7 linked regions of the Macaca mulatta genome follow. The protein of the gene in region 2 interacts with the protein of the main gene of each other region in a biochemical or structural test. Links are inferred from orthologs where the notes say so. Each region holds a gene or a part of one and is shown on either strand. Other genes may lie near its edges. The genes, in order: UBE2J2, UBA1, UBE2W, UBE2K, UBE2T, UBE2B and CDC34.

What was found.
Region 1: of the proteins of UBA1 (region 2) and UBE2J2, one has a biochemical effect on the other in vitro, tested with the Homo sapiens proteins (2 studies listed by BioGRID). The link is inferred for Macaca mulatta from reciprocal best matches to the Homo sapiens genes UBA1 and UBE2J2.
Region 3: of the proteins of UBA1 (region 2) and UBE2W, one has a biochemical effect on the other in vitro, tested with the Homo sapiens proteins (5 studies listed by BioGRID, with this or other methods). The link is inferred for Macaca mulatta from reciprocal best matches to the Homo sapiens genes UBA1 and UBE2W.
Region 4: of the proteins of UBA1 (region 2) and UBE2K, one has a biochemical effect on the other in vitro, tested with the Homo sapiens proteins (9 studies listed by BioGRID, with this or other methods). The link is inferred for Macaca mulatta from reciprocal best matches to the Homo sapiens genes UBA1 and UBE2K.
Region 5: of the proteins of UBA1 (region 2) and UBE2T, one has a biochemical effect on the other in vitro, tested with the Homo sapiens proteins (4 studies listed by BioGRID, with this or other methods). The link is inferred for Macaca mulatta from reciprocal best matches to the Homo sapiens genes UBA1 and UBE2T.
Region 6: of the proteins of UBA1 (region 2) and UBE2B, one has a biochemical effect on the other in vitro, tested with the Homo sapiens proteins (10 studies listed by BioGRID, with this or other methods). The link is inferred for Macaca mulatta from reciprocal best matches to the Homo sapiens genes UBA1 and UBE2B.
Region 7: of the proteins of UBA1 (region 2) and CDC34, one has a biochemical effect on the other in vitro, tested with the Homo sapiens proteins (7 studies listed by BioGRID, with this or other methods). The link is inferred for Macaca mulatta from reciprocal best matches to the Homo sapiens genes UBA1 and CDC34.

What each region holds. Positions count from the first base shown.
Region 1 is NC_133406.1:239,412,423-239,416,487, forward strand, and holds the start of UBE2J2 (ubiquitin-conjugating enzyme E2 J2), read left to right. Parts: upstream 1-1,265; 5' UTR 1,266-1,445; intron 1,446-2,115; exon of another isoform or gene 2,116-2,259; intron 2,260-4,065. UniProt on the Homo sapiens protein: Catalyzes the covalent attachment of ubiquitin to other proteins. Seems to function in the selective degradation of misfolded membrane proteins from the endoplasmic reticulum (ERAD).
Region 2 is NC_133426.1:47,232,065-47,235,564, forward strand, and holds part of UBA1 (ubiquitin-like modifier-activating enzyme 1), read left to right. Parts: intron 1-465; coding exon 466-572; coding exon of another isoform or gene 573-660; intron 661-827; coding exon of another isoform or gene 828-848; coding exon 849-939; intron 940-1,050; coding exon 1,051-1,183; intron 1,184-1,727; coding exon 1,728-1,825; intron 1,826-1,932; coding exon 1,933-2,079; intron 2,080-2,210; coding exon 2,211-2,387; intron 2,388-2,511; coding exon 2,512-2,616; intron 2,617-2,704; coding exon 2,705-2,785; intron 2,786-3,111; coding exon 3,112-3,267; intron 3,268-3,500. UniProt on the Homo sapiens protein: Catalyzes the first step in ubiquitin conjugation to mark cellular proteins for degradation through the ubiquitin-proteasome system.
Region 3 is NC_133413.1:84,408,204-84,411,703, reverse strand, and holds part of UBE2W (ubiquitin-conjugating enzyme E2 W), read left to right. Parts: intron 1-2,040; coding exon 2,041-2,143; intron 2,144-3,500. UniProt on the Homo sapiens protein: Accepts ubiquitin from the E1 complex and catalyzes its covalent attachment to other proteins.
Region 4 is NC_133410.1:38,909,935-38,914,134, forward strand, and holds the start of UBE2K (ubiquitin-conjugating enzyme E2 K), read left to right. Parts: upstream 1-1,400; 5' UTR 1,401-1,449; coding exon 1,450-1,512; intron 1,513-4,200. UniProt on the Homo sapiens protein: Accepts ubiquitin from the E1 complex and catalyzes its covalent attachment to other proteins. In vitro, in the presence or in the absence of BRCA1-BARD1 E3 ubiquitin-protein ligase complex, catalyzes the synthesis of 'Lys-48'-linked polyubiquitin chains.
Region 5 is NC_133406.1:60,008,557-60,012,844, reverse strand, and holds the start of UBE2T (ubiquitin-conjugating enzyme E2 T), read left to right. Parts: upstream 1-1,488; 5' UTR 1,489-1,632; intron 1,633-4,288. Other genes in the region: PPP1R12B (protein phosphatase 1 regulatory subunit 12B), read right to left, coding at 859-1,149. UniProt on the Homo sapiens protein: Accepts ubiquitin from the E1 complex and catalyzes its covalent attachment to other proteins. Catalyzes monoubiquitination. Involved in mitomycin-C (MMC)-induced DNA repair.
Region 6 is NC_133411.1:143,308,527-143,311,076, reverse strand, and holds part of UBE2B (ubiquitin-conjugating enzyme E2 B), read right to left. Parts: intron 2,526-2,550; coding exon 2,437-2,525; intron 251-2,436; coding exon 122-250; 3' UTR 1-121. UniProt on the Homo sapiens protein: E2 ubiquitin-conjugating enzyme that accepts ubiquitin from the ubiquitin-activating enzyme E1 and transfers it to a E3 ubiquitin-protein ligase. In vitro catalyzes 'Lys-11'-, as well as 'Lys-48'- and 'Lys-63'-linked polyubiquitination.
Region 7 is NC_133424.1:1,173,841-1,177,340, forward strand, and holds part of CDC34 (ubiquitin-conjugating enzyme E2 R1), read left to right. Parts: intron 1-686; coding exon 687-773; intron 774-879; coding exon 880-977; intron 978-3,026; coding exon 3,027-3,161; intron 3,162-3,500. UniProt on the Homo sapiens protein: E2 ubiquitin-conjugating enzyme that accepts ubiquitin from an E1 ubiquitin-activating protein, and catalyzes its covalent attachment to other proteins by an E3 ubiquitin-protein ligase complex. In vitro catalyzes 'Lys-48'-linked polyubiquitination.

The sequences.
Region 1 (4,065 bases), on a different chromosome or scaffold from region 2:
CTCATCACACACTACTGAAGGACAAACAAGGCAGGGCGGGCCTCCATCTGCCACGGGCCACAGCCGTGAGCGTGCAAGCGAGTGGACGTGCTGGTGCCTGTATCTGCGGCCGGTGTGGCTTCCCTTACATAACTTTCCATGCTGTAAAACCAGCTCGGCCCGCCCTGCCTGGGAACGGCAGAGGCCTGAGAGGAGGCAGAGGAAGGAGGCTGGATGCTGAGCTGTTTTCCAAAGGTGGTGCCTGTGACGTCAGGAATGGAGGCAGGCTGGATTCCCACGGGCTGAGGCTGTGTGGACATTCCTCCTGGCTTCTGCCCCAGGAGCTGCAGCAGCGTCTCAGACCCCCACCAAGGTGTCTCGGAGGGGCAGAGTCAGGCTGAGCATGGACACAGACTGCCCTCTGCCCGTAGCCACAGCGGGACCCACCCTCAGTGTTCAGCCACCTTGCTGACCTGTGGTTGTCTCTGAGAGGCCATCAGGGTTGGGGCAAAGGACAGGGCCACAGGCAGCCAGGTGGCGAGGTCCACCTCCCAATCCCCCACCAGGGGACCACCCTCAGCTCCCCGCTGTCCTTAGCTGCCTCTCGGGGAGGCGGTGGGTTGTGTGCCTGCCCTTAGCGTCCCACCCCAGCGCCCGGCCACCTACAGCTCCCTCCCAATGTGTCTGGGGTCAGAGAGAGGTGGAAAGGACGCAGCGCCCCGCGCTTTCTAAAGTCTGTCCAGAGGGAGGTCGGGGCGTCCCGGCACTGGGCCAGGCACCTGCAGGGGGAGGGTGCTGGGGCGGGGGCGTCCCGGGGCTGGGAAGGCTCCCGCAGGAGAGGGTGCTGGGGCGCGGACGTGGGTTGCAAAGCGATCCCACGCGTGTCACTCTCGGGTCCCTGAACGAGCCAGGCCTCCAGGCGCCCGGGACGCTCCACGCCGGGGCCGCGCCGCGCCGCGCCTCCCCTAAGGGCCGGGCAGGGTGTGGGAGCGGAGGACAAGGCGGGAGGGTCGGGGTCCTTTCTCCACCGGGGTCGCCCTCAGCCGGGCCTGCCGCCCTGGGCCGTGGCACGTGGGGACGTAAGCGCGCGGCTTCGGGGTCCGGGGCTTTCGCGCCCACTAACGGTGCCCGCAGCCGCCCGCCAGTGCGCACGCGCCGACCGCCCCGCCCTCCCCCGACCGGCGCCGGCGGCGACAGAGAGTCGTGGGCGCGGTCCTCCAGGCTGCCTAGAGCGGCGCCCCGCCCCCCAGGGAACGCGCACCGGAAGCAGAAACTAGGCTGGTTCCGCCCCGCGAGCGGCCATCTTGGAGGTTGAGGCGGCGGCGGCCCTGCGACGGGTTCGGTGGGCCCAGTCCCGGCGCGGTGTGGCTGTTTCGGGCGCGGGCCCCGCTTTTCCGCACCCTGCTCCGGCCTCGACCACGGCGAGCCTGAGCGCGGCGGCGGCCCACGCGCAGCGACAGGGAGAGGTGAGCGCGCTCGCTGGCCTGCGCCGGGTCCTCGGGCCCGCTCGACCGCCCCGCCGGAGCCGGCCACAGCGGCGGCCCGGGGCTGCGGGGGACCCTGCGCGACGCTTCTCCGTTCGCGCCCGCCGCCCGCGGGGCCCTGGCCCGAGCCTGCGCGGAACCCGAGGTCGGTTACGGCGGGCTCCCGGAGCTCCGGGTCAGGGTCAGGTCGGGGACTTGACCACTAGGCCGGGTCTCCCGTCCGTTGGGACACTTGCGGCTGCCCCAGGACGGGCAGCCTCGATCCTGGTTTGTCAATGGATCCCGGGAGTCTGTGTCGGGGGAGGGCTGCCGTTGAGCCCGCCGCCGCCTCGCCCTGAACTGTTAGACCCCACACTGCCCCGAGAGGCACGAGAGAAACGAGCGTGCCCGGGACGGTGCTCGGGGCCAGCGTTTCTGGGAAGCCCGGGCGGTGACAGTGGGAGACCGGAGTCTGGCTCCACCGCCGGCCGGCGGGAGTAAGACACGAGCCCGGAACAAGTCCCTGAGCTGCGCCGGGCCTCGCCGTCCACACCTGCCAATTCCCTGCACCCTCTCAGCCCCTGGCTAGGTGTCACCTCCTGGCCTCCTTTTCAATGCTTGCCACTTAGTGCGTGTGTATTTAACTCAAGTCCGGTTGCCACCCTCTTGCCAGACCCAGATAGGAAGCGGCTGAAAGGTCGGGCCTCAGCCCGGTGGGAGGGCAGCGAGGAGCGTACAGCAGGCTTGGCTGGGGCAGGTCGGTGGCCCCGCGTCCTGCCCCAGGGGAAACAGACGGTGTAATCTGGCTTCCGAAGAAGTGAGTATCTCGCTTAATCCAAAAGTCCAGCACCTGAGCCTAGGGCGTGGTTGGGTCTGGGTGCCCGGAACTCACAGTCCGTCATCTGCTCGGCCTGGCACCGCTGACCTCCTTAGCAGCTCCGCTCTAGGCAGGTACATGTGTGAGTGACAGGCAGGTGAGCCAGGCAGGTGCATGTGTGCGTTACAGGTGAGTGTCCCACCTCCATCGGCCCGGGCTTCCATCCAGCCTTCGGAGCAGTCTGGTGGAGAAGGCAGAGACTTCCGTGGCAGTCCTGGACCTGGGCGTGCCACGCGCCTGGCAGATGGGTCAGGCCAAGGTTTCCTGCCACATCCCTAAGCAGGAAAGAGCTGTCCAGACAAAGAGGGATGGGTGAGAGCTGCTGGGCAGCCACTGTCTCAGCGCCTGGGCACAGCTGCCCTCGGTGATTCACGCTGCTTTTATGCAGTTTCCGTGTAAACGTTTTTTTTCTGTACCTTTTTGTTTTAAAATCGCCAACTCTTTCTCTCAGCAGGATGATGTGCTTGGTGTCCCTTGTCTGTGGGGATGTTTGAAGGGAACCTGAGGCACATATGCTTCAAACTCTGTTCTCACAGTTTGCTTCCTTTGTGGATTTTTTTTTTTTTTTTTTTGGAGACAGGGTCTCTGTTTCCCTGGCTAGAGTGCAGTGGCATGATCTCAGTTCACTGCAGTGTCCGGCTCCGGAGTTCAAGTAATTCTCCCACCTCAGCCTCCAGAGTAGCTGGGATTACAGGTGCCCACCACCACACCCGGCTAATTTTTTTTTTTTTTTTTGAGATGGAGTTTCGCTCTTGTTGCCCGGGCTGGAGTGCAATGGCGTGATCTCAGCTCACCACAACCTCCACCTCCTGGATTCAAGCGATACTCCTGTCTCAGCCACCCGAGTAGCTGGGATTATAGGCATTTGCCAGCACACCTGACTAATTTTGTATTTTTAGTAGAGACAGGGTTTTACCATGTTGGTCAGGCTGGTCTCGAACTCCCGACCTCAGGTGATCCGCCCACCTCGGCCTCCCAAAGTGCTGGGATTACAGGTGTGAGCTACCATGCCCAGCCCCTTTGTGGATTTTTATTTTCCTTGTCCTTCCTGCTGTCATATTGGGAGGAGATGAATTGGGGGAAGTCGCCCCCTGGCGCCTTGGGGGACGTGAGAACGCTGTTCTGTGTGAAGCTCAGGAAGGGTGTCTGGGGAAACAGCAGTTGAATCGTGAACATGATTTTAAAAGCCTCTCCAAGCAAGTATGGGAGGGAAGCTTGCTTGTGACTGACTTGATGGAATCTATTTTATTTTTGCGTGGCTGTCCATGACCTTTCATTAAACCCGCAGCCTGGCCACTTAGCTAAGCCCAGACACACCTGTACCTGAATTGTCCAGTGAATTATTTTGTATATGGCAGAGTGTTAGCTTCAGGGTGAGCGTTTGAAAGGACGGCCTGTGTAGAGTGCTGCTTGGGGTCATCGCTGTGTCCATCACCAGGTGTTGGCCTGAGGGGAGATCCCTGGCCCATTGGCTTCTTGAGCCAGGAGCTGGGGATGCCACTGTGTGGAGCACTTCCTTCCCGGGCAGGACTAGAACCCCGTTCCTGGTGAGGGCCCTCCTGGGGAGGCACTCCTTAGGCAGAGGAGCCCGCCCTTGCCTCTGCTGGGGCCCGAAAGGGCCCTGCGTGGTGTGTGGGGTCACATGGAGGCCAGTGATGTGTGACAGAGTGGGAGGCATTTGGCAGGGAAATCAGGGAGGCCTCTGAAGGCGGTGGCCCGGAAGGGCCTAGGGGAGTTTCCAGTAGA
Region 2 (3,500 bases):
AATCCGGATGGAGGAATAGGAGCTCACCCTGGTGGGGAAGGATGGACATTCAGGCAGAGAGCAAAATCCCAAAGATCATGCGGAGCAGGCATTGTCTTGGGAATTGGAAGCAGGTGGGTGTGGTAGGAGTGAGCTCAGACTTTGGCTGGAGACAGAGTTTTACTCCAGTGTCTCACAGGGCATGGCAAGCAGACAGCAGCGGGTGTTTGTCAAATAAATGAGTCAGCTCTTCTCCAAACTCCGTCCTCCCAGCTACCTCTTCACCTTTCCTGGTATAGTCTAGGAGTTCATTTTTGACCCCCACAGAGTCTGATGCACAGTAGGTGCTGTGTGTTTGTGAAAGAGGCTGACCCAGCAAAGCCTGGATGTGTCTGCCTTGAGGACTGCCTGAGTCCTTGACATCAGCCCTCCACCATTTTCTCCTCTTCACCCCAATGCTGGGCCTGAGCCTCCATCTCTCCACAGGTGGTGGTGCTCACCAACACCCCCCTGGAGGACCAGCTGCGAGTGGGTGAGTTCTGTCACAGCCGTGGCATCAAGCTGGTGGTGGCAGACACAAGGGGCCTGTTTGGGTGAGTGGCGGCCCACCCCGCTCCCTGTCCCCTTTTCCTCCAACTCCTACCAGGCCCAGGCCAAGACCTCTAGGCTCTCCCTGCCCTCGTCCCTCCTCAGCTACCCAGATTTTGGGTTCTTTGTGTTCATCTCTCCTCATGTGGCACAAGTACCATCTTACATCCCAGCAGTGATAGGCTGAGTTTGCTCAGCAAGTTTTCACTACATCTTGAGGGACCTGTGGGGCCTGTTTGTGCATGGGACACGGGCATCAGCCCTATTGCTTCCCTCTACAGGCAGCTCTTCTGTGACTTTGGAAAGGAAATGATCCTCACAGATTCCAATGGGGAGCAGCCGCTCAGTGCTATGGTTTCTATGGTTACCAAGGTAAGGAGACCAGCCCTAGGGTTCCTGGCGGGCAGGTGGGCTGTGGTAGTCCTTCCTGTCCGCTCTTGGTACCCTGGGCCTGTTTCTGAGACTCACTCTTCCTTTAACCAGGACAACCCTGGTGTGGTTACCTGCCTGGATGAGGCCCGACACGGGTTTGAAAGTGGGGACTTTGTCTCCTTTTCAGAAGTACAGGGCATGGTTGAACTCAACGGAAATCAGCCCATGGAGATCAAAGTCCTGGGTGAGTTGGGACCATGGGGGAAGCAGAGGGAAGCTAGGAGATATGTTCCTGGGTTCTGGCTAGGGAGTTGAAGGGAGGAGACATGGCCCTTGGTTCAGATTGGGGAGACACATCCTGTTGTTTAAGATGAACTACAGACAGAATCCCGTGGGGTCCAATAAGAGCTGGTGGGCATGAGGGAGAGGTGCTGTGTTCGAGCTATTCCTGGGAGAATGTGTCCCTGGTATCTGAGCTGAGGGGGAAAAGGTCTCTGGTGTTTGAACAGGGCAGGTCAGAGGATCTACTGTGTGTGAGCTGATTTGGATGGGAAGCACATAAGGTCTTCCCATGTAGACTTGGAGCCAGGGACATAGGGTCTCACAGGGTCTGAGCTGGGTCTGGGGCACAGGAGAGATGTTTTCTGATGTCCATGTGGAGCCTGGAGCAGAGGGGAGATGGCGTCTGATGTCTGAGCTGAGTTGGGGCAGGAGGTTCCTTATCTTGCAGGGGTTGTGGATTTTAGGGAGAATGGGTAGACTGATAGCTCTCTTCCTGCCCTCTATAGGTCCTTATACCTTTAGCATCTGTGACACCTCCAACTTCTCCGACTATATCCGTGGAGGCATCGTCAGTCAGGTCAAAGTACCTAAGAAGATTAGCTTTGTGAGTGTGTCAGTGGGAACAGTGGCTATGTGGGGTAGTTCTAGGCATTCCCGAGTTCTCCATTCCTCTCTTCTGGTTCTGATGACCTCCCCCTTCCCCCGCCACAGAAATCCTTGGTGGCCTCACTGGCAGAACCTGACTTTGTGATGACGGACTTCGCCAAGTTTTCTCACCCTGCCCAGCTGCACATTGGCTTCCAGGCCCTGCACCACTTCTGTGCTCAGCATGGCCGGCCACCTCGGCCCCGCAATGAGGTGGGTGGGTAGGCGAGCCAGCCAATGCACACATGCCTGGCACTGAAGGCCCACCATGCTTCTGCTTATCCACACTCCCTGCCCTCATTGTGGCCTGACAGATCCTCTTTTGGTTCTTTCTGGCCTACCAGGAGGATGCAACAGAACTGGTGGCCTTAGCACAGGCTGTGAATGCTCGAGCCCTGCCAGCAGTGCAGCAAGAGAACCTGGACGAGGACCTCATCCGGAAGTTGGCATATGTGGCTGCTGGGGATCTGGCACCCATAAACGCCTTCATTGGGGGCCTGGCTGCCCAGGAAGTCATGAAGGTCAGCATGGGTTGGGAGAGGCAGGATTGGGGTGGGCCAGGTGCCTCCCTGACTCCATCACTTGCTCTCTGTGTCAGGCCCCTGTTAACCACTGACCACCCCCTCTCTCCCTTCCCCTCTCCAGGCCTGCTCCGGGAAGTTCATGCCCATCATGCAGTGGCTATACTTTGATGCCCTTGAGTGTCTCCCTGAGGACAAAGAGGCCCTCACGGAGGACAAGTGCCTCCCAGTATGTGGGTGGGACCTGTGGGGAGGGCATCATTGGGGGCATTTCTGGGGAGGCCTCTCTCTGACCCTCCTCCCTTTGCATTCCTTAGCGCCAGAACCGTTACGATGGGCAAGTGGCTGTGTTTGGCTCAGACCTGCAAGAGAAGCTGGGCAAGCAGAAGTATTTCCTGGTGAGTGGTCCCCTTGGATGCCTGCTCCCCTCATCTTGGCCTCTGACCATCTGCCCTGGGGCTTCCTTCAGCATTTCAACGCAACCTGTGGGGCATTCCCTTTGCCATTCTCCTTATCTTGAAGGGAAGCCCAGTGCATCCCTCGTTTCCCGCTCTGGTTCCTCCTTCCTCACACGACTGCATGTCATTTCTTAGAGTCCTGGAACCTGAAGATGTGGTGTTAGCCCCTCTCCCCATCTCTCAGGGGAGTGAGGGGTGATGGGTAGCCTCACACTAACCTGCATCACCCTGACCAGCCTCTGCCTGTCTTCTTGGTTGCCTCTTAGGTGGGTGCGGGGGCCATTGGCTGTGAGCTGCTCAAGAACTTTGCCATGATTGGGCTGGGCTGCAGGGAGGGTGGAGAAATCATCGTTACAGACATGGACACCATTGAGAAGTCAAATCTGAATCGACAGTTTCTTTTCCGGCCCTGGGATGTCACGGTGAGTAGGGTAGGAGGTGGGGCTTTGTCATCTCACTTTCCTCCTTTTTCTTTTTTTTTTTTTTTTTCTTGAGACAGAGTTTTGCTCTTGTTGCCCAGGCTGGAGTGCAGTGGCATGATCTCTGGCCCACCGCAACCTCTGCCTCCTGGGTTCAAGCGATTCTCCTGCCTCAGCCTCCTGAGTAGCTGGGATTACAGGCATGCGCCGCCATGCCCGGCTAATTTTGGTTTTTA
Region 3 (3,500 bases), on a different chromosome or scaffold from region 2:
GTGGAGGTTGCGGTGAGCCGAGATTGCGCGATTGCACTCCAGCCTGGGCAACAAGAGCAAAACTCTGTACCAAGAAAAAAAAAAGAAAGTACCATGCACAATGTTGACAGTTATATTGTCTTTGACCTCATGTAGTATCTGCATGTCATGCAGATATTACGAGGATTGATGAGATACTTGGTTAGCTCTTTATTTTTAAAAGTTGTGCTTGTTTGCATAGGTCACATGTAAATTTATGTTGTGTGTCCTCAAATTGCCATATAAACAGAACGAAAGACCACCATTTTTCCTGGGAATATTACTCTGCCTAGTAGATGTGGGTGGAAAATCAAGAAAGGAATTTCAAAGATTAAGAAGGACCTAATATATAAAGAGATAGTTTTTTGTTTTATATGCAGCTTTTGCATTGCATTTAATTTACCATGTATTGACTCTGAGTCAGGAATGTGCTAGGTTTTTTACTTATGTAGGGTCGTTTATCTCCAACAACACTATAAGGTGATTATCTTCTGTTTTATTATTGAGGTAGTTAAAACTGGAGAGAGAACATAACTTGCTCACACAACGAGTTAAGATTAACTGTAACTGCCACTTCAGTATAATTTCAGTTATAACTGTTTAATTTCACTATAAAATGTTGTCTCTTGGGTCTGTGGTCGTATCTTTTATTACCATGTATGGTACTCAGCATGCATTCTTAAAATGAATAGCCATGCTCTTAAGAGTCTGTATACTGTAGCTGATTTCTTTTAGAGAATAGGTACATTTATTAGTTTACATAATCCTAAGTTCATCGTATGCGTGGTAATGACTAGAATCCCAACACTGTGTTTCCTTTCTTTCTTTTGTTTTCTTGTATTTTAAGTACAAGAAAGTTTAATACCTGAAAAGTTCAAGAGAATTGCCTAGGTGTACAATAATTATAAGTGACAGAGCTATAATTAGGAACACATTGTTAATGACTTCAATTCACTTTTGCTTCTAATGCTGCCCTGTTATCTTTGCTGTCATTATCCCTTATTCTTTCCCCCATCTTAAAGAAAATAACAAGAAATAGTGTATACACTATAAATAACACATTTATGTTTATGATTGTTACATATTAAAACAAAGTAGGCTTGCATAGATGCCATAGAAATGGGCTTTATTAAACAATTGAAACATAGTGAGAGATAAAGAAAAGGCAGTACAAAGCCTTGCTTAATCGTCAAAGTAAGTGGAATGATGTCAATTTAGCTCCCCTTACCCTGTTAATCTTTTCTAGAATGTTGATGAGAAAAATAAATCTGACAGCTACGGTTCTCTGTAGTCATTGTCTATACGGGTTTCTCCATGGCTTCCACCAGTAATAATCAGAAAGACAGTTGATTAGTTTGATGTTATGTATAGAATACTTAATATCAGCATTGTAGAAATGGTACTTTGAAAAAATAAGGTAATGTAAATCAATTAGGAAGAGTACAGGCTTGGGTGTCAGCACACCTTAGTTTGAGATTTGTTTGTTTATTTTGAGACAGTCTTGCTCTGTAGCCCAGGCTGGAGTGCAGTGGCATGATCTTGACTCACTGCAACCTCTGCCTCCCGGGTTCAAGTGATTCTCCTGCCTCAGTCTCCTGAGTAGCTGGGATTACAGGTGCACGCCACCACGCCCAGCTAATTTTTGTATTTTTAGTAGAGACCAGTTTCACCATGTTGGTCAGGCTGGTCTCAAACCTCTGACCTCGTGATCCACCTGCCTCAGCCTCCCAAAGTTCTGGGATTACAGGCGTGAGCCACCGCGCCTGGCCTTGGGTTTTTGTTTTGTTGGCTTTTTTAGACCTATCTTTTGCTAGCTGTCTGACCTTGATCTGGTGGTTTCACCCCTGAATGTCAGAGAAGGTCATGAGAATTAACAGTGAGAGAGTTATTGGGAGGCTGGCATGTGCTGTTACACATAAACAACTCTTGTCCCAGTGCTTAGTGTACAGGAAGTACTTGGTGTCCTCTTTTCTCCTCCTTACCCCAGTATCTTAAGTTTTTAATTTGCCTTTTCTATTCTAGGTGGATTGTAGACATGGAAGGTGCACCAGGTACCTTATATGAAGGGGAAAAATTTCAACTTCTATTTAAATTTAGTAGTCGATATCCTTTTGACTCTCCTCAGGTAATTGCCTTGCTTTAAATTTTTTTTTTTTGTATTTTTAGATAGCTAAATGCCAGAGATGTTTGACTCAGTAAAAACATATAAATCATTTATACGTATGTAGATGGATTTGTTATTTCCTTGTTCGTAATATAATCAAGATATGAACATTACACTTAATATTGGGATTAGGGCTTTACTGCATTTTGCATCTAAAATTGTTTGTTTCTTATCCATAAATACTAGCAGAAAAGGGAATAGAAATCTAACCAGGCCTCTAGGCCAGGGGTCCCCAACCCCTATGCTGTGGACTGGTACTGGTCCCTGGCCTGTTAGGAGTCAGGCCACACAGGAGGTGAGCACCATTACTGCCTGAGCTCCGCCTCCTGTCAGATCAGTAGTGACATCAGATTCGCATAGGAGTACAAGCCTTATTGTGAACTGCACATGCGAGGGATCTAGATAGTACGCTCCTTATGAGAATCTAATGCCTGATGATCTGAGATGGAACACTTTCATCCCAAAACCATCATCCAACCCCCAGCCCCATCCGTGGAAAAATTGTCTTCCACCAAACCGGTCCCTTGTGCCAAAAAGATTGGGGACCACTGCTCTAGGCCATTCGAGAAGTTGGCATTTTGGAATAACTGGAGGCGCCTCTCCTAGGTCAGATGATAGAATCACATGGTGAAGAGAAAAGTTCTCTGTTGGAAGGAGTACTTTGATTTTGCATTGACGTGCTGTCTTTGCAGCCTTTTAGTACTGGAATGGCAGAGTACATCACCAGATGTTAAATATCTAAACATTGGCCCAAAGTCTGTTTATTATAATTTGATGCCCAGTCAGTTTAGTTAATAACTTAATACTTAGACAAGGGATAATGGTGGTAGAGGAATGTTTTTTGAGAGCTGTTTAACTATGGTAAATGATTAATCAGAGATTAGAGAAAGGAAGACTGTAGGATGACTTCCAGGTTTCTGGCTTGGTAATATAAGTAAATGAGTTACTATAATTACTTATTCTTCAGAGAATTATTGTAACAAAGCACTTCATTTTTAAAATTTGAGGCTTGTAATATCCGTTGGCTAAAGTGATAAGACGTAATGCCAACTCTTTCTAGTATTGCTAGCAAATGAGCTATTCTGTAAAATAGAACCATATACCTGAAATATTTCCCAGATACTGAAAATTTAGCTTGTAGGTGCTGAAGTGTACTATTTGGGGGAAAATCTTATTTCATTGCCACTTTAAACAATATACCAAACACAGCTTAATCTTTTGTTAGTTATGTAAGAGAAGAGATAGAAGTCAGTTACTGTATCATGCTATAAGTAAAGAGGTAATTGTTTTAAAGCATAGATTTAAATGGATACTGACT
Region 4 (4,200 bases), on a different chromosome or scaffold from region 2:
TCTACTTAAAATATTTTATACTTTTTGTTTTGTATTGTTTGAGACATAAACTTGCTCTGTGGCCCAGGCTGTATGTAGTGCAGTAGCGCGATCTCGCTCACTGCAACCTGCGCCCCCCAGGTTCAAGCGATTTTCCTGCCTCAGCCTCCAGAATAGCCGGGATTACAGGCGCCTGCCACCACACCTGTCTGATTTTTGTATTTTTAGTAGAGACGGGGTTTCACTATGTTGGCCAGGCTGGTCTCGGACTCCTGACTGCAAGTGATCCGCCGCGCCAGCAAAAGCGTTTTACTCTTATCTGTACTCATTTACACATTCAATATTTATAGAGTGCCTACTATCACCAAGCACCTTTGTAGGCCTAGGTTTACAGAAATAAGGCTCCCCCTCCCCCATCCCAGTCCCCTGAAGGGCACTATAATTTCTATTTCTCCAGTTTTCAATTTAATATATATGAATTTTCACACGCTTCAGTTCAGTGGTTCTCATAGTGTGGTCCCCGAACCAGCACCAACAGCAGCAGCAACTGGGAGACTTGTTAGAAACGCAGTCTTAGGCCCGCTCCACACTCTAGGGATGGGCACAGGAGTGTGTGTGTGTGTGGTGTGTGTGTGTGACAGAGAGTGTGTGTGTGTCAAGCTCGGTATTAAATAGGTCAAAGATCAACATCTGACTTGTAAACCCACCCTCAGGCCTCTCCACCGAGTACCTGTCTCAAACCCAATCTGATCCAACAATAACCAGCCTTAATTCGATAATCTGTGCTACCTGAGATGATGGGAATAATCGTGGTACTATAAATGTTGCAGAACAAAAACGACTGCAGTGGATTTTCTGGGGCTACACCAACTGAAAATGGGCCGGACCGAGATCCGCGAGAGCGTTTTCCTGCGCTAGACACGGCGTTCAGCCTCCGGGTTCCGGGTCTAGCTGAGTCAGGGCGGCGTTCCAGCCGAGTGCGGCTTCGGGAACCCGTTCGGCTGCGCGCGAACCTTCGGTCAGAGGCCAGCGCTGGAAGCCCCGACCACAGCACCTGGGTTTAAACAGGAGCGGAGGCGCCGGGTAGGACCGGGCGGGCAGGCTACGGCCGGCCACCTTGGAAGCCGCGCCCTAGCGGCCCCAGACGCCGGCAGGGCGGAGCCACGCGGCCGCAGCCCCAGCCGAGACGCGAGCTCGTGGCTCGGGCGTATGGGGGCTACAACGGGAGCGGCTGCGCCGCCCGGCCGGGTCAGCGTCGTGCGCATGCGCCGACCCGGCGCCATTTTGGTGGCCGGGCGCGGAGGTGATTCCACACTGAGGCGAGCGCGGCGGCCGGGGTGGTAGTGGCAGTGTTCGTGTGCTCGGGTCTGAATCGCCGGGGGAGGAGGCGGTGGAGGAAGAGGTGGCGGCGGTGGCGGTGGTCGTAGCGGTGGCGGAGGAGGCGGGTACGAATCAGCTGCGGGCGGAGACATGGCCAACATCGCGGTGCAGCGAATCAAGCGGGAGTTCAAGGAGGTGCTGAAGAGCGAGGAGGTCAGAAATGAACTCCCGGATATCCCCCATCTCTGCCTGGAGCGGGAGGGTCCTCCCAGCTGCGACCCCGATATCCTCGGTAGTCCCTGGGTGGCCCTCCTTGCGGCCGCCCTTCTGCCTGTGAGGAAGCAGCAGTGTTCCCCTCCTCCTTCCGCCGCCTTCCCCTCCCCTCCCAGAGCGCTAGGATGAACGGTCTCGCGGGCGGGTGGTCTGGGGTGGAACACGGTTTGGGGAGCTGATGGACAGGGGGGAGCTCCTCGGAGGGATGGAAGCTCACGAGAGAACCCGAGGCGGTGGCCACAGCTGGAAATGTGGCTGTGGGGTGGGGAGGGAGCAGGCCGAGCCTGAGAAAACCCGGGAAGTGGGTTGGGGGAAGGGGAAAGGTGGTAACTGGATACGAAGAGCAGTGCTGCTCAAAGGCCCACACTTTTGAGGGTATTTGGGGTTATTGCTTGTCAGGCCTTCACTGTTCTTTTCGTAGGGGAGGAGCGGTGAGTCCAAAGGTATTGATTAGAAAGGAAGGACATTCAGAGTTAGTCCTTCTTAGTTGGGTGTTAGGAGTCAAAGGGAGACATAATAGAATACTGTCTTATTTGGTGGCGGGGGTAAGGGAATTTTCACCTGAGTTAGCAAGTTATTCCAAACGAGATAATTATGTCTTCCACTTAACCCCCAAATTCGTAGGCCTCATTTTTATTGACATCACAATCTTTTTTGAGTGGGCAAAGGCGAGGTGTTTGGTGTATTAAAGACATGTAAATATTTTTAGTTAGGAAAAAAATAATGGGTTGTATGAGTAGTTTATTTCAAAATATTGTTTACAAGTTACCGATCAGACTGTCCTAAGACAGTGCCTCTGTGACTCGTGTTGTGCCACGAAACTTCATTATGATGTCCCTCATAGGTAACTTGATTCTTACTTTTGAAAAGTAGACCTATTAAAAATGTGAGATTTCACCAGATTAATACATTATTTCATCTCCTTATTGAGTAGATTTATCACGACTTAACAGATTTTCAAAAAAATTGCCTGCCATTGCTCTTAAGTTCTGCAGAATTTATATACATTAGTACTACGTTTATGTAAGATATTCACAATGCTCTAGTAATTTGACTCAAAATTATGCAAGTATTAGTACAGTGTGTCGTACCAAGATGAACAAGAATGCCAGATTGTCTTCCCCACATGAATTAAACAAAAAGTAATACAGAAAATGATTATTTTCAAGATTCACATACCATTATTGAATATATCATTGCTATTTTTGTTTTTCTTTTACGGTTAGTACTTTGATAGTGTCAATAATGATTTGTGAAATTCAGCATTCTAAATATGTGATGAGTATACATGGAGAAAAATTATTTAAAATTCAAAAATGACAACAGACTTATTGAAAGTAGTAGTATGTAAGTCATGATCGGTTTTACAGAGCATGTGTATGAACTCTGACCTCTGTGTTCATATGCCAAAACTCTGAATGGAAGGATGACTTTGTATTTTGTGGTACAGCGCAGAAATAGAGTCAATAAGTGTCTGTACTGATACAGTGAAACAGCAATTTTAACTTATTTAATATGAAAATGTATTCCAGGTTAGCTGACATACATACTCCTAATGAAAGATAGCAGCTAATATTGTTGCCAACAACCTAAAACATTTCTTGTTTAATAAGGTTGTACAAGCCTGAAACTTAATAGACTTTTAGTGCTTTATTTTCTGTTACAAGTGGTAAGTTACTGCTTTGGTAATTAATATGGTCTCTTTGCTTTTTATGAGCTCACTTTTCACTGTGAGATTCGTAGTACTTAAGTTGAAGATTACCAGAAATACTTGTATTGCTCTCTAGTAATGCATATTGTTAAAACAAACAAACAAACAAACAAAAAAACACTGCTCTTTATACATAAGGGATGAGGAAGCCTTACTTCAGATAAGCATCAAAAGTGTTTCAGAAGAAGAAAACAGGAAATGCAGACAGGTTTTTTGTTTGTTTTGTGTTGTTTAGAACAGTACCTGTATAAATATGGAAGGAAACTTCTTTTGGGAAAATCAGTTGCAAAGAACATTTAGGAAAGAGTCACATCATTTAATCTTGCAATAAATATAACCAATAAATAGCTTATTTTCGCCAGTATTTTTTGATATTTTAGTAGCCCCAGTTCTATAAGTGGATTATTTTCAACTCATTGAAGACTTGTAGTATAGTCCGTGTGTTTCCTTTTTAAGGGTGTAAATCCAGTCTTTTGAATGGCTGATCAAATAAATATTTCATCATGTCACTTTTTTGGTAAATCTGCACTTTACCAAAATTTATTTCATGTGCTTGTATGCTTGCGTTTACTAAGAACACTGGTTGATTTAAGGACTTTTTGGGGTGGCCTTGTAAGTGCCTTTGTAAAGATAGCTGACGCTTACTGGATTCTGGTTATGAGAGATTATAAGTGACCATTCTTAGAGTGTGTTAATTAAAATACAGCCAACAAGATAAATGTGAAAAGCAAGATGCAGAATAGTGTGGAAGAAGCCACCATTTGTGTTAAAAAGAGGGGAATATGTGTATTTGTCTTTATAGGCAAAAGGTTTCACAAGAAATTGGTAAAATTGATTGCTTTCTGTGTAGAAAAATTGGGTCTCTGGGGCATGGGGTATAGATATTTTTTTAATTTTGTGTCATACGAATGTGATTT
Region 5 (4,288 bases), on a different chromosome or scaffold from region 2:
GATTTGAGGCGAGAGGGTGTAGTTAGTCATGGCAGTCAGTAGATAGAGAATATTGCTGCATTAGGTGATGAACTATAAGGTGTCGTTACCAAGCACAGATTATCCACAATCCATATAGTATAGCTACGTATAGGGCATGGGATTTCTATAGAGCGCTTTAGAAAAAAAAAAAAATAGAAAAATAGAAAAGGTATTCCATAAGTATCAAACAGACAGAAGTAATTCAGTAACTTAGTTCTCCACAGGAAGCTCTCGGGGAGGTAGCATTGCTGAGAAGAAAGTTAAGATACCTATAACAACGAGGTCCGGGGTGTTCTAGGAGCTATAGCCTAGAGGCGACACAAACTGTTTTTAAGTACTACAAATCAACAAAACAAGAGGTGTGGTTTCAGACCTGCTTGTCTTTACCCAGTATAGGGCTCTACTCTTTAAGTGATCTAAGATATTCTATAATGGAGACACACAACAACTGAATTTTCTGAAAGGGCATCAGACAAATGACACTGTGACACGGCATGCAGGCACGCCAACCAGACATAAGTGAAGATAACTAATCTATAGGGATACGACCAGGGACAAAAATCACCAGTAACCATGACAACACAAGTAGGTGGAGGGAAACACAAACACTGACCAAGCAGCGGGGTGACACTATTCCTTCAGGTAGAGAGATCCTGGGGTCAGAAAAAGACTTGATTAGTGGAGGAAGCTGGCCAAGAATGAAACCGATTAGCCCAAAAAGGCAGTGTCCATGCAGAAGGACTCGGCGGCAACACTGATACTCCCCATGGGGCGGCTCGCAGGGTCAAAGACACATCTGTAGGAGACTGGACGCCTCTAAGACCGTGAAGGAGTTACCTGGTGCAGGGCTGTCAAGCCGTCCACGTTGACTGTGTTGATATCAGCACCTCTTGCCAGAAGCTTTCTCACCTCGTCGGTGTCCCCGCTAGAGCAGGCGGCCAGGAAGACAGCACCGTCCTCGAAGCGGACCCTGGGGCTCCCGCGCCTGGTCAGCGGCTGCCGCCCCGCGCCTCGTCGCTCCGCGGGCTCCTGCTCTGTCAGCGAGCCCCGCCAGCGCCGAAGCTGCTCTGCCCGCCGCATTCGCGCCGACTCTGCCCGCTTCCCTCCTAGGTGCTCCAGCTCCGCCATTGCTCCGGCCTCGGCAGCTGCTGCCAAAACTACCAACACTAAATTACTGTTGGGGCTCGGGTTGCCGCTGCCGCCTCCCTCAGAGCGCTTCAGCCGGGAGCAGAGGGCGGAGACCCTCGCGCCGCCATCTTTACTCCTCTCGCCACTAGCACCGCCCGCACGTTCCCTCGGCTTCAATACGCAGCCGCTGCCCGGCCTCGGATCATCACGGGACTCGTAGTAAGAGGCCTGCCCTAAGTGCACTTGGTGGCCGTAAGGGAACTACAAATCCCTGGATGCATCAGAAAAAAGTCGAGGACAGACGGCTCTTTCGCCACGGGACCCAGTGAGGTCACCTTTGCCCTAAAGCTGGAACTGTCTCCTGGACTGGCGTCAACCTCTTCCTCTGGGCATTTTGGGAGTCGTAGTTTATTCTTGTTATGACTGGTAACTAATCTTAGCTCCCTAATTATCACATCAATTCTTTGGAGTGGAAGAGACGCGGTAATTATTCCTATTTTCTGGAGGGGAGAACTAAACATTAAGTACCTAAACGACTGGATTCTATATCCTAGTTCTAAGTCTAGGGTTTTATTAACATGTGTATTAATCACAGTAAATGTGAATGTGCGTGGGGAGGAGGAGCAGTATTACATGTTTTACATAAATACTGTCAACTTACTCCAGGCCCAGAAAAGATCTTGAAAATGATGCATTCAGATGTAGTGAGAAGAGTTTAAGCTGTGAATTTAAATTGAATTCACAGCCGTAGACAAATTACTTGACTTCTCTGAGCCAGTTTTCTTATGTGAAAAATGGGAATAATATCTCACAGGGTAGTCGTGTGGATCAGATAAAATAATACATGCAAGGATGCCTAATACTATCTTTGGCACATATTGCATCCCAATAAATAATTTCTCTTCCTTCTCCCTCCTCCTCCTCCTCTACTCTTTTCATATATCTTAAATTTTTACAAGACAGAATAGATGTCTTCCGTGATTTTTATTTCTTTTCTTTTGACACAGAGTCTCACTCTGTCACCCAGGCTGAGTGCAGTGGCACGATCACGGCTCACTGCAGACTCAACCTCCTGGGCTCAAGTGATTCTCCCACCTCAGCCTCCCAAGTAGCTAGGACTACAGGTGCCCACCACCACACCCGCTATTTTTTTAATTTTTTTATAGAGACAAGGTCTCACCATGTTGCCCAGGCTTGTCTGGAACTCCTAGACACAAGCGATCTCCTGCCTCAGCTTCCCAAAGTGTTGGGATTACAGCCCTGAGCCACTGTACCTGGCCCATGATTTTTTTTTTCAAAGCTAGAGAAAGATACTATCAAGCATACTAAATCATACTAAATTCCTAAGGTAGCAAATAGGACATTCTTATGTTCCCCAAGACTAGGTTAAAAAACGTATATCTGTCTGATTGTTTTGTTTTGTTTTGTTTGAGACAGGGTCTCACTCTGTCACCTATGGCATGGTCATGGATCAGTGTAGCCTCAACCTCCCAGGCTCAAGCAATCCTCCCACCTCAGCTCCGCAAGTAGCTGGGACTACAGGCCTGCGTCACTATGCCTGGCTAACTTTTGTATTTTTTGTAGAGACAGGGTTTTGCCATGTTGCCCAGGCTAGTCTTGAGCTCCTGGGCTCAAGTGATCCACCCACCTCAGTCTCCCAAAGTGTTAGTATTACAGGCATGAGCCACCACATCCGGCCAGTCCGATTGATTTAATAATTATAACCTCCAGTGCTCTAGCCCTGAACAAAATATAATTAAATGTGTTACCCATAATGAAGGAGTACATATGCAAATATTAGATTCTTTAAACATTTCTGTATGTTTAAAATTTTTCATTTAAAAATGTTGCAAAATGATCAGGGTATTGTAAAGGGAAACTTTATTATATTCTGTCATGTGAAAATTTGCCTGTTCCTAAATTCCCCCTGAAATGAAGTGGAAATCATACATTAAGGAAACAATTAGTTATTGAATTGAAAACCTTAAATGAAAAGTGACATATAAATGTAAAAATTATTATGTTTAATAATACTGTGTCTACCCACCATATGCTTTAGTAGGGTATTCTTAAATACATTATAAATACTAATTAAACCTTATGTCAAATCTGTGAACTATGAATAACAATGTACATAAGGAAAATCAAGGTATAATAATGTATACATTATGTAACCTCATTTTCCTTGCTACATACATTTATTTATGGCCATGATAGAACTTGTCATGTCTCATCATTTATTGCAATTAAAAATTTTTGGCCAGACGTGATGGCTCACGCTTGTAATCCCAGCACTTTGGAAGGCCAAGGCGGGCAGATCACTTAAGGTCAGGAGTTCGAGACCAGCTTGGCTAACCCCATCTCTACTAAAAATACAAAAAGTAGCTGGGTATAGTGGCAGGTGCCTGTAATCCCAACTACTCAGGAGGCTGAGGCAGGAAAATCGCTTGAACCTGGGAGACGGAGGTTGCAGTGAGCCAAGATTACACCACTGTACTCCAGCCTGGGTGACAGAGCAAGACTGTCTCAAAAAAAAAAAAAAAAAAAAAAATTATTCATGAGATTTACTTTGTAACATATCACAGTGGGACCTCCTCTTATTCCAATTCAGCCTCTTGCTGATAATTTGTATTGCCCTTAAGCACCCAAATAGAACTCTCAGTAAAGGATAAAAGAAAAATTGGTATTAAATCAAATAGGTAGGAATACTCAGCTAGAAGCCTAATCCTATTCACAGTCCTCATGCATCATTTCAGTATCATGTTCCTGGTATATGATAGCTGCTCCTATATATATATAACTTTATGTTTTACTGGCATACTGGTCTTCTAATAAGGATTTTTGAACTGGAGTACATTTTTCAGGGATCAATAATGATGATTCTTTTGGCTGCATTCTTTTTGTATTCAGAATTAGGAGGCAAAAAATATCTAGTTCCAGTTGTTTAAATAAGCTAAAATTGACCCACTCCAGGTTAAATCCTTACTTTCCCAAGAGATAGGAACTAAAATTTCTTTCTTTTTTGGAGACAATTGGTACCAACATAACTCACTGCAGGCTCGAACTCCTGAGCTCAAGCAATTCTCCTCCTACCTCCTGAGTATCTGGGACTATAGGCACATAAAATAAAATTATGTTA
Region 6 (2,550 bases), on a different chromosome or scaffold from region 2:
CTTTTTTCTTTTTTTTCTGCAGAATCCTTAAAACCTGTGGCACTTAAAATTTGTTAGCCTTTCTACTGAGAGGTAAATTATACACAACAATGATGAAAAAGATTAACAGACCAGTTGTCTATTATGAATCATTCCAGCTTTGTTCAACAATGGCCGAAACTCTTTTCTCATATTCTCGTTTGTTTTCCTGATAAAGCTGTGCTGCCTGGCTATTGGCTGGACTGTTAGGATTCGGTTCATCCAGCAGAGACTAGGAGGAAAGAAAAGAAAAAACAGATTTGCTTAGTTATTCTTTATACTAACGGGTCAGATATGGAATATATTACAGAGAAGTTATACAAAACAACAAATTACTTCAGAGATTAACATGTCATATAATTTTGGGTCTAAATATTTTAGAAATGATTTGATAAATACTATGAGGTTTCCTGCTGCTAAGGAACTTAAGCTTCTGAAATAATGTTCTCAATTGCCTTAAGACCTACAGTTTCGGCTGGGTACAGTGGCTTGCGCCTGTTATCCTAACACTTTGGGAGGCCGAGGCAGGAGGATCCCTTGAGCCCAGCAGTTCAAGATCAGCCTGGGCAACATAGGGAAACTCTGTTTCTATTTAAAACGAAAAAGAGGTCAGGTGTGGTGGCTCATGCCTGTAATCCCAGCACTATAGGAGGCCGAGGCGGGCAGATCACCTGAGGTAGGGAGTTCGAGACCAGCCTGGCCAACATGAAGAAAACCCCATAATTTCTAAAAATACAAAATTAGCCAGGTGTGGTGGTGTATGCCTGTAATCCCAGCTACTCAGGAGGCTGAGGCAGGAGAATTGCTTGAACCTGGGAGACAGAGATAGCGGTGAGCCGAGACTGCGCCATTGCACTCCAGCCTGGGCAACAAGGGTGAAATTCCGTCTCAAAAAAAGAAAAAAAGAAAAAAACACCTATAATTTCAAAGAAATCAGAAAAGAATATTCTTAAGCATATTGAGATTTTCTCATTAAACCAAGGAAATGAACAGCTTAATTTGGTTAAGCTATAGTATCAATAAATCTGTCAGTATCCAACATTTTCCAAGGTTAAACTCTACTACTGCAGTTACTTTGCAAATGTCTGACAGTAAAAGTTGGGGGATAAGTCTTATCTCCTTTAATCAACAAAACATATATATTTAGCAGGAAGAGAATGAGATAGGAAGGTTGAAAAACAATGCTTGTAAGATGACCAGAATTGGCCTGGCACAGTAGCTCATGCCTGTAATCCCAACACTTTGGGAGGCCGACGTGGGCGGATCATGAGGTTGGATAGAGACCATCCTGGCTAACACTGTGAAACGCCATCTCTACTAAAAATACAAAAAACTTAGTTGGGCGTGGTGGCATATGCCTGTAGTCCCAGCTACTCAGGAGGCTGAGGCAGGAGAATCACTTGAACCTGGGAGGCAGAGGTTGCAGTGAGCCAAGATTGAGCCATTGCACTCCAGCCTGGGCAACACAGCAAGACTCTGTCTCAAAAAAAAAAAAAAAAAAAAAAAAAGGCCAGAATTAAAGAAGTGTGACAGAAAAAACTTTAAAAAGAACATCACAAACCAACATATTATTTCTGCTCCTCTCAAATCCACAAAACCAAAACACCCCTCACTCCACCCCTCCTAAATTTTCATTCAAAGATCTATTCTGAAATATTCTGCCAGACTGCTTCGGCAAATGGTTACATTAATTTTCCTTTATTTTATTTTATTTATTTATTTATTTATTTATTTATTTATTTATTTATTTATTTATTTTTTTGAGACGGAGTCTCGCTCTGCCGCCCAGGCTGGAGTGCAGTGGCCAGATCTTGGCTCACTGCAAGCTCTGCCTCCCGGGTTCACGCCATTCTCCTGCCTCAGCCTCCTGAGTAGCTGGGACTACAGGCGCCCGCCACCTCGCCCGGCTAGTTTTTTGTATTTTTTAGTAGAGATGGGGTTTCACCGTGTCAGCCAGGATGGTCTCGATCTCCTGACCTCGTGATCCGCCCGTCTCGGCCTCCCAACGTGCTGGGATTACAGGCTTGAGCCACCGCGCCCGGCCAATTTTCCTTTTTTTTAAAACAGAATTTCTTGGATGGGGTAACACATTCAATGCTTATCTGCGCTTGGCAGTTTCTTTAGGTTCCTATGGTTTTTCCAAGCCATTTTTTTCTTTTCCACAACCGTTGGCTATGCTTCATGGACACAAATTAGGTTTGACCTGTAAGAACATGTAACTTACACAATCAGGAAAGGGACTGCAGACTGGATCCCATGTAGGCATTACTGAAAGAGAAGTTAGCTGAAAAGCATGGATTCTTGCCCAAGCTCTGCCATTGGTTACCTGTGTGCTAAGCAGGTTACAGTGCTCCTAAAGGAGCTGACTGTATCCTACAGAATACTGACAAACTATAATACATCTTAACACATACTTACCTGAATTGATGTTAAGATAGAAGATACATCGTATGTTGGACTCCATCGATTCTGAAGGATATCTAAACATATGCTACCATCAGCATACACTGCAAAGACAACACTAAAATTGGT
Region 7 (3,500 bases), on a different chromosome or scaffold from region 2:
CCGGGGCCCGGCAGGTGTCAGTGTTTGCTGAGTGAGCAGTCGTCTGTGCAAACCCTCCCCACACCGTGCCTGCCAAGGCCCTGGAGGGGCAGCCTGGTCTTGGGCCTCAGCTCCATCCGAGGGGAACCTGGAGCCCCTGCCAGTCCGTTCCGTCGGCTGGTGGGTGCCCCTGGCCCGGGTCCCGTGTGCCTGACCTGGGCTGCCACAGGCCTGGAGCCACTCGGGCAGCCAGTGCCTGCGTCCTCCAGCGGCTGGGCTGGGCCAGGCCGCGGCCACCTGGGCTGCGTAGGAGCTGGGATCAGCTCAGGTGACTCGGAAAAGGCTTGAGGCAGCCTGCTGGGGACTTGGCCCCAGGCCCATGAGAGTCCCTGCCTTGGCTGGGATAGGGTGTCCCTCACACACCCTCAGGCACACGCCCGAGCCTTACCCCCAGCACACCAGCACCGGGAGTGGAATGGCCTCGGGTCCCTCACACACACCCTCAGGCACACGCCCGAGCCTTACCCCCAGCACACCAGCACCGGGAGTGGAATGGCCTCGGGTCCCTCACACACACCCTCAGGCACATGCCCGAGCCTTACCCCCAGCACACCAGCACCGGGAGTGGAATGGCCTCGGGCACCCTGTGAGCCGGGGCAGGGCCTGGGGCTGAGCCGGGCTGAGCCACACGCCTTCTGCCCCTGCAGGCGCGCCTCAAGTTCCCCATCGACTACCCGTACTCTCCACCGGCCTTTCGGTTCCTCACCAAGATGTGGCACCCTAACATCTACGAGGTGAGCGCGGCCCCCACGGGCCTCACGTACTCATTGTCCGGGACCCGTGGCTCTGGGAGCCAGTGCTGACCTCTGACCTGTCCTGACCTGTCCTCTCCTTGTGCAGACGGGGGACGTGTGCATCTCCATCCTCCATCCCCCGGTGGACGACCCCCAGAGCGGGGAGCTGCCCTCAGAGAGGTGGAACCCCACCCAGAACGTCAGGTAGGCCCCACCCCCGTGTCCACCCAGAACGTCAGGTAGGCCGGCCCCATGTCCACCCAAAACGTCAGGTAGGCCCCACCCCTGTGTCCACCCAGAACGTCAGGTAGGCCGGCCCCACACTCCATGTCCACCCAGAACGTCAGGTAGGCCCCACCCCCGTGTCCACCCAGAACGTCAGGTAGGCCGGCCCCACACTCCGTGTCCACCCAGAATGTCAGGTAGGCCGGCCCCACGCCCCATGTCCACCCAGAACGTCAGGTAGGCCGGCCCCACGCTCCGTGTCCACCCAGAACGTCAGGTAGGCCGGCCCCACGCCCCATGTCCACCCAGAACGTCAGGTAGGCCGGCCCCACGCTCCGTGTCCACCCAGAACGTCAGGTAGGCCCCACACTCCGTGTCCACTCAGAACGTCAGGTAGGCCCCACCCCCGTGTCCACCCAGAACGTCAGGTAGGCCGGCCCCACCCCCGTGTCCACCCAGAACGTCAGGTAGGCCGGCCCCACGCCCCGTGTCCACCCAGAACGTCAGGTAGGCCGGCCCCACGCCCCGTGTCCACCCAGAACGTCAGGTAGGCCGGCCCCACGCTCCGCGTCCACCCAGAACGTCAGGTAGGCCCCACCCCCGTGTCCACCCAGAACGTCAGGTAGGCCGGCCCCACGCTCCGTGTCCACCCAGAACGTCAGGTAGGCCCCACGCTCCGTGTCCACCCAGAACGTCAGGTAGGCCGGCCCCATGCTCCGTGTCCACCCAGAACGTCAGGTAGGCCGGCCCCACCCCCGTGTCCACCCAGAACGTCAGGTAGGCCGGCCCCATGTCCACCCAAAACGTCAGGTAGGCCCCACGCCCCATGTCCACCCAGAACGTCAGGTAGGCCGGCCCCACGCCCCATGTCCACCCAGAACGTCAGGTAGGCCCCACCCCCGTGTCCACCCAGAACGTCAGGTAGGCCGGCCCCACGCCCCATGTCCACCCAGAACGTCAGCTAGGCCGGCCCCACGCCCCATGTCCACCCAGAACGTCAGGTAGGCCGGCCCCACGCCCCGTGTCCACCCAGAACGTCAGCTAGGCCGGCCCCACGCCCCGTGTCCACCCAGAACGTCAGCTAGGCCGGCCCCACGCCCCGTGTCCACCCAGAACGTCAGGTAGGCCGGCCCCACGCCCCGTGTCCACCCAGAACGTCAGCTAGGCCGGCCCCACGCCCCGTGTCCACCCAGAACGTCAGGTAGGCCGGCCCCACGCCCCGTGTCCACCCAGAACGTCAGGTAGGCCGGCCCCACGCCCCGTGTCCACCCAGAACGTCAGGTAGGCCGGCCCCACGCCCCGTGTCCACCCAGAACGTCAGGTAGGCCGGCCCCACGCCCCGTGTCCACCCAGAACGTCAGGTAGGCCGGCCCCACGCCCCGTGTCCACCCAGAACATGAGGTAGGCCGGCCCCACGCTCCGTGTCCACCCAGAACATGAGGTAGGCTGGGCTCCCCCGCGGGCCATGGCGCCGAGGCCTAGTTTGGGACCTGCCAGCCGGCGATCCTGGGCCTCCCTGTACCCGCACGGTGGCTGCTTTCATGGGACCTGCCGCACTGTGGTGTCTGTGCGGACTCCCACAAGACTCCAGGCCAGCCCCACTCTCTGGAGTGACTGAGACGTGTCCCGCCCACCTCGGTGCTGGGTCTTCTCCTTCCCCAGCTGTCTCTGGGTTGGTCACCACGTGCGACCTGTGCCACCCGGGCGTCGTCCCAGGTACAGGCCCTGGCCCGTGTTGCCCGTGTGTTCTGGAATGCAGCCCAGGCAGGACGTGTGGGCGTGAGAGCAGCCCCGGGTCCGACAGGGGTCTGCACCTTTCTGCCCTCCCTGGTCTTGGCGTGGGAGGGAGGAGGCTGATGCAGGTCCAGCCCCTGCTGTTCTGGGGGCCTGAGACACAAACAGGCCATGAGGCCAGATGAAAATCACCTGTTGGGTGGGTCCAGGTTTCCCCGTGACCCTCAAGGCCGGAGAAGAGCCGGAAGGCTGGGGTGCCCCGGGCCAGCCCGCTCCAACCCACTCTCCCCGCAGGACCATCCTCCTGAGTGTGATCTCCCTCCTCAACGAGCCCAATACCTTCTCGCCCGCCAATGTGGATGCCTCCGTGATGTACAGAAAGTGGAAAGAGAGCAAGGGGAAGGACCGGGAGTACACGGACATCATCCGGTGAGCGCGGGGGAGGTGCACGGGGCGGGGGAGACTCGGATCCGGCCTGCACCCCGGCCCTGATCCCTCGGCCGCCCAGCCCCACCGTCCTGGTGAGGGTGGCGGAGCTTCCTGGTGCCCGTTTACAGGGTACCAGTCACAGATGGAGGCCGGGCCTAGTGGCGGAGGGTCCAGCCAGGTTCAAGCCCAGCCTCTTGCCCCTTTTCCTCTTTTTTTTTTTTTTTTGAGACAGAGTTTTACTCGGTTGCCCAGGCTGGAGTGCAGTGGCGCAGTCTCGGCTCACTGCAGCCTCCACTTCCCGGGTTCAAGCAATTCTCCTGCTTCGTTCTCCGGAGTAGC